2 linked regions of the Nothobranchius furzeri genome follow. The protein of the gene in region 1 purifies or fractionates together with the protein of each later gene. This does not show direct contact. Links are inferred from orthologs where the notes say so. Each region holds a gene or a part of one and is shown on either strand. Other genes may lie near its edges. The genes, in order: ppp1r12a and rpa1.

Region 1 (4,567 bases):
AAATACTGTAGCAAATGTCATCTTCATACGAAAACCTGCTCTTAAAAGCACAACTGGTTTAAATTTAATGAAAAAAGCAGTCATCACACTTTCCTCTGATTAGACATGTGGATGTGAGCAATGGCGTGACATCACTGATGACCTCTGCCAACAGAGACATTTAACGGGAATTCTAAGATCATTTACTCTCAAAGCAAAGAAAATGAGATGAGATCCCAGGACAAGTCCTACACTGTGATTTTGCCCAGTAAAAATAAAACTTTTTCTGCAAGATGAGGCATTTTACTACAGCATTTAGGTACAAAACTCAGACTTGGTAAGATTAAATAATAATACAAAAACATATTTGAATGATTCACAGCAGCTTACACAGTATACTGTACCTACTCAGTAGAATTACATCACACAATGATATACTAGTGGCAATATAAAATATACAATAAATCATTTTAAACTCATAATTAGGAAACAAATCTACTTCATACTCTTCCAACCTCTGGATCAAAGCAAAAAAAACTTTCTCTAAGCTTCTACAAATAATCTGCTCATTCTGATCTCACCACTGAATCAGTACAGTTCCACTAAGCTTCGGAATAAGGACGGGGGCATTGGTTGGTTTGAAATGCCTCCTCGTATATTTGGTAGAACACATCTTGATCTATAAACACATAATGCCTATTTTAGAACAGCTTGTGGAACATAAACTTACAAAGTGTGCTTATGATAAGGGACTTTTGATTAGTTTCAGTGAAATTGTTGACAATACAAGGGTCTGTTTTTGCTTTTAAGGAGAATGGGCATTTATTCGCTTTCTATAAATCGGTTGCCTCTCTCCAACAGTTGGTTTCTCTCTGCTAGGAGTGTCTAATGCAAAAATCTGCATCATATGGTCATCTCCATGCCACATACAAAGCAAGTGACAGTCCATGAGTGAGACAAAATGGAACAGACACTGGCTGGGATTAAAACAGGAAAGATATACAATCGGGAGGCTTTATAAACTTTGGATTTACTGAAATAAAGTGAAGATCAAGGTTAAATTATCATCTAAGACGATCAGACAATAGATTCACTTGATGATCATCTTAATTTTGCAGCAGTTTTACATGAAATATTAAGAGGATGTCTGTAGAATAGTTTAGGATTTTTTATTAGGTATTTCCATCAACACACATGAATATTTGCGTCTTTGACTCATCAAAATACAGCCTCACAAGTGGGTGCGTAATAAAAATGAACTCGATTTGGGTTCAACAAGAACAGTTCATCGTGTTCTAAAGCTAGTTTATTGCAGGCCTAGTTTATAAGCAGCATAACATTTAGCTGTTTTTCCCAGAGTGAACATATCTGTCCCACCTTCAAGAGGACACGGGCACTACGAGCACCGGCCGATCGAATATTTAAGTGTTTTTATGTGATTATTTTAATCCAGGCCCCCTTTCTAAATAATTTTACGGATGAGGTCGCCGCAGTCTGATAACACTCCGAGCACATATGCTAGTGAACGTTGCTAAAGAGATTAGCAGCAAAACTGTTAGCTTGGCACGGATGGCGTTTCTGTCAAAACAACAAACTGCCAACCGCATACACATTGGTGTTCTGATACACGCCACAAAGACAAGAAATGTAAAAAAAGAAAGAAATAGAGACTAGTAAGAACGAGGCACGTCGTCCGTCACCTCGGCTAATGAATGAATCGAGTCAAAATCAACTCCATAACAGCCAGCGTCGGTTATCTTAGCATGCTAACAGCGCTAGCTCACAACTCACTACATTTTATTCTTCATTGTAAATACCACTGCGTTTATTAATTATGTCAGAAGAAATAATACATAAATGTCACTTAAAGACATCAATTAGAGTTAAAATAACAACTAATGTCCAATAACTTTGGTTTCACCCCCTGAGAGTCGTCGCTGCTGAGGGATTTATCAACAAAACGACTTTTACTGCTAGCCAGGTAATAGCCGGTGCTGTGTGCTGGGGGAAAACACTCTTTCACGAATGCACCCCATATAGTTAACATATATATTTTAAAAACAGTATAACTGATGGAACGTGGGGTCTTGAGGGTAGCAAAGTGTCAACATTCGGTTTGTTTCTTTAGAGTTTGCCATTCTACGCCAGTGGAAGTTCTTGCGGCACTACACCATCCGCTGGTGGAATCAACTGATCTGGGATTATGCTTCTACACATGACAGCTACTACTAAAGAGACTACTTAGGACACATTTTAAGTTTTAGATTTTACACAGCAATCACTGCACACGAGAAAACGTCATTACTAATTTGTCTAAAACCACTCCAGAAAAAAGACGACATAGCTGTGGGATTTTGAGCTACAACAGAACAGCAATTAGACTGCACCCAAAGGCTTTAATACGGATCGAAGCTAGTCTATAAAGGCTAAAAGAAATCAAACTAAAAAAACGAAGTTCTGTAATATGTGCACAGGCATTAAACCAGTTAATAGGGCTCAGGAAGGTGCTAATCTATTCTCAGCGTCGAAAAAGGCGAGTGTGCAAGGTAGGTAAACAGCGAAGTGAGAATGGCTTCAATTTGACAGGTGTTACAACACAGGAAGCAGTTACAGACGGTAAACTGATGCTACGGTGCAAATAGATAAAATGGCCAACAATGGCAATCAGACACGAACCTGGTGAAGAGCAGTGAGACCGTCTACATTGGCGTAGTTGATGTCAGCGCCCCGGTCAAGTAGACGGAGCACCTCCTCGGTATCGCCGCTTGAGCAGGCAGCCAGAAACACGGCGCCATCATCGAACTTCACCTTCGTCTTCTTCTTTTTCAAAACAGAAGGTTCCTGGTCCGTTTCCGAGCCCAGCCATTGCTTTAGCTGTTCATTCCTCTTCTGCTTGGCGTCCGCCATCTTCATCCCCCTCCTGACTCAGACTTCTTATCGTTGTCCGAGAGAGGGTATACTTTATAGTGCCACTATCCCACAACGCACTGGGGCGTGGGAAGAGGGGAGGGCTGTGGAGGAGGAGGAGGGGACACGGCGTGAAAGAGGACGTCTGGAAATTTCCGATAATCTCGCGAGAACTGGAGCTCAGGCGAGGCAGCATCAGATCAGACTGCAGCATAACGTCATTAGTTGGGATCTCTGGCAAACCGATGGGACATATAATATTTTATGTACATGATTTTTGAGGGATGTGACTAAAATTGAATCTTTACTATTCAAATATGTGTATAAAAATGAACCGAATGTAAAATAGAACTAGTTGTAACTGCAAATTCATTATGTAATTCAATTCAAGTTCATTTATATAGCGCCAAATCACGACAAGAGAAGTCTCAAGGCACTTCACACAGTAAACATTCCAGTTCAGGTCATCATGGACGTAATTTTGGGGGGGACAGGGGGGACATGTCCCCCCCACTTTTTCCAAAGTCAAGATTTGACCCCTGCACTTTTTACCATCCAAAAGCAATATTACGCTATATTAAATTGACACTGGTTGAGCTCTAGGACAAAGCGGAAAACAACTGTTTGTGTTGAAGCCTGTTTCCCATTAGAGCATAGTGTAAAGATACCCCCCCCCCTCCCGTGTCTCCCCCACTTCTAAAGTGAAAATTACGTCCATGCAGGTCATTAAGCCAATCAGTAACAAGCTTCCTATAAAAAGAAACCCAGCAAAGTGCACTGAGTCACTGACTAGTGTCAGAGTTTTGACAGCAATACTTTATTGTTTTTTAAGTTAAATTGTATAATAATAATAATAATAATAATAATAATAATAATAATAATAATAATTATAAATATTAGTAGTAGTAGTAGTAGAATATAAATATATATATATATATATATATATATATATATATATAATACATTTTGATTATCATATAAAAACAAACCTGAAACTAAACTACAACATATATTAAATCCATGTTTTTAAGTTTAAAAACTTTTTTTTATTTTATTTTATGTTTTTGCAGTGTCTGGTACGAAATATTGTTTAAACAACCCAGGGTCCAGACCAGGAAGCAGAGTCGTAGTTTAACCCACCCCTCTGCAGCTTCTGTACTGTTACCCACCCACTACCCCATAGAGACAGTGTCCTGTCCACGGCCAAAATCACACAGATTAAATATCAGGCTTAATAAAGCAAATCATGGAAATCTCATAAATATTAGAACAAATTCTACTGAGCAGAAAACTAGAAAAATTAAATGTGGGTTGTTGAACATTAGATCAATTTTTTCAAAGACTTTGTTAGTTAATGACTTGATTTGTGATAATCAGATCTCTTTGCTCTCTCTCTCACAGAATCCTGGCTGCAGCAAGAGGACTATGTTAGCTTAAATGAGTCGACTCCTTCAAATTATTTAAATCATCATATTGCTCAAAGTACAGGGCGAGGAGGAGGAGTAGCAACCATTTTTCCGAGGAGGAGTAGCAACCATTTTTCATTCAGACTTATTAATCAGTCCCTTACCACTTAATAGCTACAGTTCGTTTGAACATCTTATTCTTAGTTTTCTTAAACCAGATTGCAAAACTGTAAAACCACTCTTGTTTGTAGTTTTATATCATCCACCAGGCCCTT
Region 2 (4,588 bases), on another chromosome or scaffold:
CGTCTTAAATTCATCACTGTTGACTTCCGCCTTGAACAGGAAGCAAAAACGAGATGTGATCGAGCGTTTCCGTGAGAGATGATTCACGTTTCCCAGAGCAGGAGTAGAGCGTGAAGTGCTGCAACAAACTAGCGCTGCTCGTCCCCTGGAGAGCGTTGCTGCCTTACTTTGAGATTTTCCATTTGAACAAGCTCTGCACATTCGATTTGTGTGCATCTCACGTGGAGGATTAGAGTTCAAAGTGTTCACTCGAGTCCACACACTTTGGCAACCGCTGCACTTCAGGTAATTAAACTCTGAGATCAAGCAGCACACACAGAGAAATGAACAATCCCTCCTGTTGATGAGGAAGATGGCTGCTGCAAGCCTTCACTCCCACATGGCAGATTCCAGGGATGAATGTCTGCTTCGTCACTCGCAGACACAACATAGATGTGGGAGTCTGCAGCTCTGCTACTGGTCTCAGAAATCTGAACGTAAAATTTGTATTTTATTGATCTAATCAACACTCTGACAGTTGGTTGAGTGATTGTCTTTCACAGGGAAAGAACAGGAAACTCCTCCCGATGCACCAACAGGAAGCATAGTTATGGAAACAAAGCACAGATTTTTGTTTCATAAGAGGATAAAAATAAGATTTCTGTACGCAAATGTCAAAATGTCATATAAACCTTAAGATTGCCTAAACCATCAGAAAGCTGCTGCCATCTAGTGGACATTTTGTTTTTTGTCTATGGTCAGCTTTTTCAGCAGAAAAATTAAATAAATATAAAAGACAAAAGCTTGAACTTACCGTCGTTCTTGTTTTGTGCCTGCAGTGGAGGTCTGACTTCGGGGCCTGGAGCTGCAGGGACGGGGCCAGACTGCTGGCCTTTATTCTGACCTACAAACAGAACATCAAGTTACCACAAGCCTATGGCAACACGATGACTCAATAATGAGTCACCTCTGTTTCTCTCACTGCCATTGAGTTTTACCATCAAAGTAAGGAGTAGGGTCTCCAATTTTACCACTGACTTCTTCAGCAGGTTTGATCAATTCGGTTTCCAAAATGATGACCACTCGGCTGCAATCAGATTTTACATCAATTCTTGTTCATTTTTGCTTTTTAAATAGCAAATTTTTATATTTGCTACGAAATCTGCATACCGTCCATCCTTCAGAATATTGGTCACATGCTTCTTCAGAATGCACACACAGTTTGGGGCGAGGATGTTTTCCTCAGCCAAGTAGTTCAACTGAGTGGAAAGCATAAAGGCTGCAAATGATGAGGGAAAATGTTTGGTTAGCTTTACGTTAACAAAAAAAAAAAAACTCACAATGTGCACCTAAACCCTAGCCTAGAGAACTAGAAAAACTGTAGGAGTATCTGAAGATTTATGCTCTGCGGGTTGGTCTAGCAAGAGTTGAGGAGTTTAGAACCACAGCGGTGACAAAGCAAAACAAAGATGGCATCGGCTCAGGAACGGCACTCTTTTTAAAAGGTGTTGGTATCAAATTTGGGCGACTTAGACTTGTGCAGCAGGTGGAGGTACCTCTTCGATAATGTATGGCAGACTGCCCTGTCGAGCGATTTCCGTTGCTGTCAATACGTCACGTTGTTTGTTGCTCTGATTGGTGCTAGCACTGTAGTATTGCAAGCAGAGACCGTTTAAAAAACAAAATGTAGATTCTGCCCCAAGACCGAGCTCAGTCTATGGGTTGTAGCCAGACTATATATCAACATAGCTTGCCAGGCTACCTAAAACCTTTAATGATTGCAAAATAAAACCACAAAACAAATATGCATTCCAGATGTCATTTAAATGTTAATCATGTTGTCGTTTAAAACGCAAATAGATGTGCTGCTCATCACACGATTCGTACACCAACAGTGCTTCAGGGTAAAATTTTCCCTGACAAAGTAAACAAAGGAGATAGTGCCAATTTTTTCCACTAACGAACAAATGTCAAGGTCACAGCTGCCCTGACCTTCTAATTATTTATTTACCAAGAACTATCATGCAGGAAAAATGAGATTTGAGTCTATGAAACTAGACAAATTAAAATTGCAAACGGAGTAGCTTCTCTCTAAAGATGCAGTCTCACTAACACTTTCCATTCAAAAATGATTAAATGCCAAACCCAGGGTCAGAGACTGGTTTGATCCAAATGTATATCATACTTACATGACAGTGTGTGGCGTCCATCACTCATCATCACCCGAAAGCGAGGTATCCCACTTCCTCCCTCTATTTTGCGAATGTTCTAAAAGTTAAAGAAAAAAATAATAAACTCTTGCAATTTAATCAAGAAATCTGCAAAAGCATTTAACTAATGCCTGAGTTACTGATTTGTTGGAATTTGCTGAAGCAGCGTTCTGAAAAAGAGTGTGGCGTTTAATGCCTCTTCTAAAATATATAACGCACAAAAAGCAGCTTCACAAGTTTACACAGCTTTCAATACGTCATGACGGTTAAACAAAGAGGCCGCATGTGATGCGGGCCTTAACCGTGTCAGAACTAAAAACGAAGCCCAAAAGTAAACATGCGTTTAAGAGCATGATACGTTTAAATGGTATTTCACGTTTTCGTTATTTACCACCAGCTGAAGAACTGCGTCATTCCAACCGGAGCCATTAGCTAAAGCCTGCAAACAAAAACAATTAACTTAATGTAACACAGCTGTTTTGTTTTAACAGTAGAAGCATTCATTTTTTACAAAAGATTTCTAAACACATGTACGCTACTTCAAATTATGTTTCAATTTACACCAGCTTCAGTCAATATTAGTTTTTAAGTTTCCATTAACCTCAATGTAAAAAATGTCGCGCGAATGCAAACACATAGTAGGAAAATGCCTACAAAAACACGTTAGCATTTTAGTTGAACTGACATTAACTTTACCTCAATCGCGCCTTCTGAAAGTTTAGGCATGTCTGACGATTTTGCGTTGAAACTGAAGATTACTTTAGCAACTGCTAGACAGACGGTTTTCTACAACTATCACTGCAAACAGCTTGAAGTTTATGCCTGTGGCGCCAACGGCTCAGGCATCGCGCGCTCAATTTGTCGAGTTCCGTGTTGTCGGGTTCCGTTTCCGGTAACAGATCTGACTTCAGTTTCCAAAATCTGTCAGAACAGCAAGGCTTAGAGGTAAATTCTCACTAAACTGACCGCAGACCAGCACTGAATTTCTCAGCGCAAAACTGAGTGACGTTTGTTGCGATGCGTTCAATGACATTTGAAAACAGGAAACACCCGATTTTGTGTTTTCAGCGATTTTTAAAAAACACGGAATGTTAGTATTATGCACAGTTTTACTCGTCGCATAATAACTATATTTGGAGGGGGAAAATTATATTCTAAGAAATTAACTAATTTTACCGTAAGTCATATTACAATAATATTGTAACTCCTAAAATGTGTCACATGGCAAGATTTGAAAAGTATTTTTAAATAACCATTTGATTTAAATGTCTCAGCAAATTAATTCATATCAATACTGATTTAGATAAATTGAATTGATTTAAGTACACAAGAAAACAAATTAAAATATTTTAAGAAAATGCTCAGTCATGCAGTAATGCTCAAACATATGATATTTTAGACTTTACATGTTGACACATTCCACATGTGGTGGAAAATTAAACCATCAAGTAACATGACAGGGACTTTTTTGTGAATTTAATGTTATCGTTTAATTTCTTGACCATCACATCTTATACAATACAGTCATGTAAAATGAATATTCCTCTTAAAATGACTATTGGGCTTTAAAGCATAATTATTTCCTTATGAAACAAACAAAACGTTTTTATTTTCACACATATTTTGATCCAGACTAGTCTGTACAACTGCTAACTCCTAGCTTTCTCTCAAGAAATGGACAGATTTGTATTTCCTATTTAGGACCCCCAAATGAGCTCATGTGATCTTTGTCATATGAGAAACCCATTTTATCTTTGCTTCCAAACTGTCCTTTCTGCAGGATAGGGGCTCCAGGATTAGGATTGTTGATGACACCCATGAAGATTGGTATTTGAGTTACGTCATCCATAAGCACAAAAAAGAAGGGCTTAGTGAGGTGGAAAACTGGAATTGCTGCCCGTGAGATAACTATGTTGGTGGCTGCAGCAGCTTCTGCACCATCCTCATTTATTTCCATGCTTGACTTGTGCATCACACTGGACACCAGCAGGGGGCCGTCTGCAATATCAGCCAAGTTAGGATTCAGGAACATCTCCCCGAGGCCTGAAAAATATAAAAAATAAAAATTACATTTTGAGGCTCAGTTAAGAAAATAACAGTGGTTTTCCCAAATTTTTACTTAAAATTGACATTTATTAAAATGTATCTGCAACATTAATAAAACATCTAAAACTTTACCTAGTTTGGTAAGAACCTCCTGTAACTCTTGAGAATACTCCAGTTTGAATTTTGGAACTTTGACCTGAACGGCCGTCTCTTTGGGCAGGCGTTCGTATAAGTCAGAGATATTTAGCTTTGCACACAATGCAGACACATTAACTTGTCCAGACTCAGGCATGACCACCAACAAACTCATCAGCTTCGTGAATGGGAACCTTGCAACCTGCACAAGAAGACAT

What was found.
Region 2: the proteins of ppp1r12a (region 1) and rpa1 fractionate together in Homo sapiens (co-fractionation; 3 studies listed by BioGRID, with this or other methods). This does not show direct contact. The link is inferred for Nothobranchius furzeri from reciprocal best matches to the Homo sapiens genes PPP1R12A and RPA1.

The regions. Positions count from the first base shown.
Region 1 is NC_091741.1:40,817,972-40,822,538, forward strand, and holds the start of ppp1r12a (protein phosphatase 1 regulatory subunit 12A), read right to left. Parts: upstream 2,994-4,567; 5' UTR 2,893-2,993; coding exon 2,656-2,892; intron 1-2,655. UniProt on the Homo sapiens protein: Key regulator of protein phosphatase 1C (PPP1C). Mediates binding to myosin. As part of the PPP1C complex, involved in dephosphorylation of PLK1. Capable of inhibiting HIF1AN-dependent suppression of HIF1A activity.
Region 2 is NC_091753.1:47,659,076-47,663,663, reverse strand, and holds the start of rpa1 (replication protein A 70 kDa DNA-binding subunit), read right to left. Parts: upstream 3,036-4,588; 5' UTR 2,916-3,035; coding exon 2,886-2,915; intron 2,629-2,885; coding exon 2,581-2,628; intron 2,248-2,580; coding exon 2,169-2,247; intron 1,259-2,168; coding exon 1,150-1,258; intron 1,067-1,149; coding exon 978-1,066; intron 884-977; coding exon 794-883; intron 1-793. Other genes in the region: serpinf2b (serpin peptidase inhibitor, clade F (alpha-2 antiplasmin, pigment epithelium derived factor), member 2b), read right to left, coding at 3,883-4,232, 4,368-4,572. UniProt on the Homo sapiens protein: As part of the heterotrimeric replication protein A complex (RPA/RP-A), binds and stabilizes single-stranded DNA intermediates that form during DNA replication or upon DNA stress.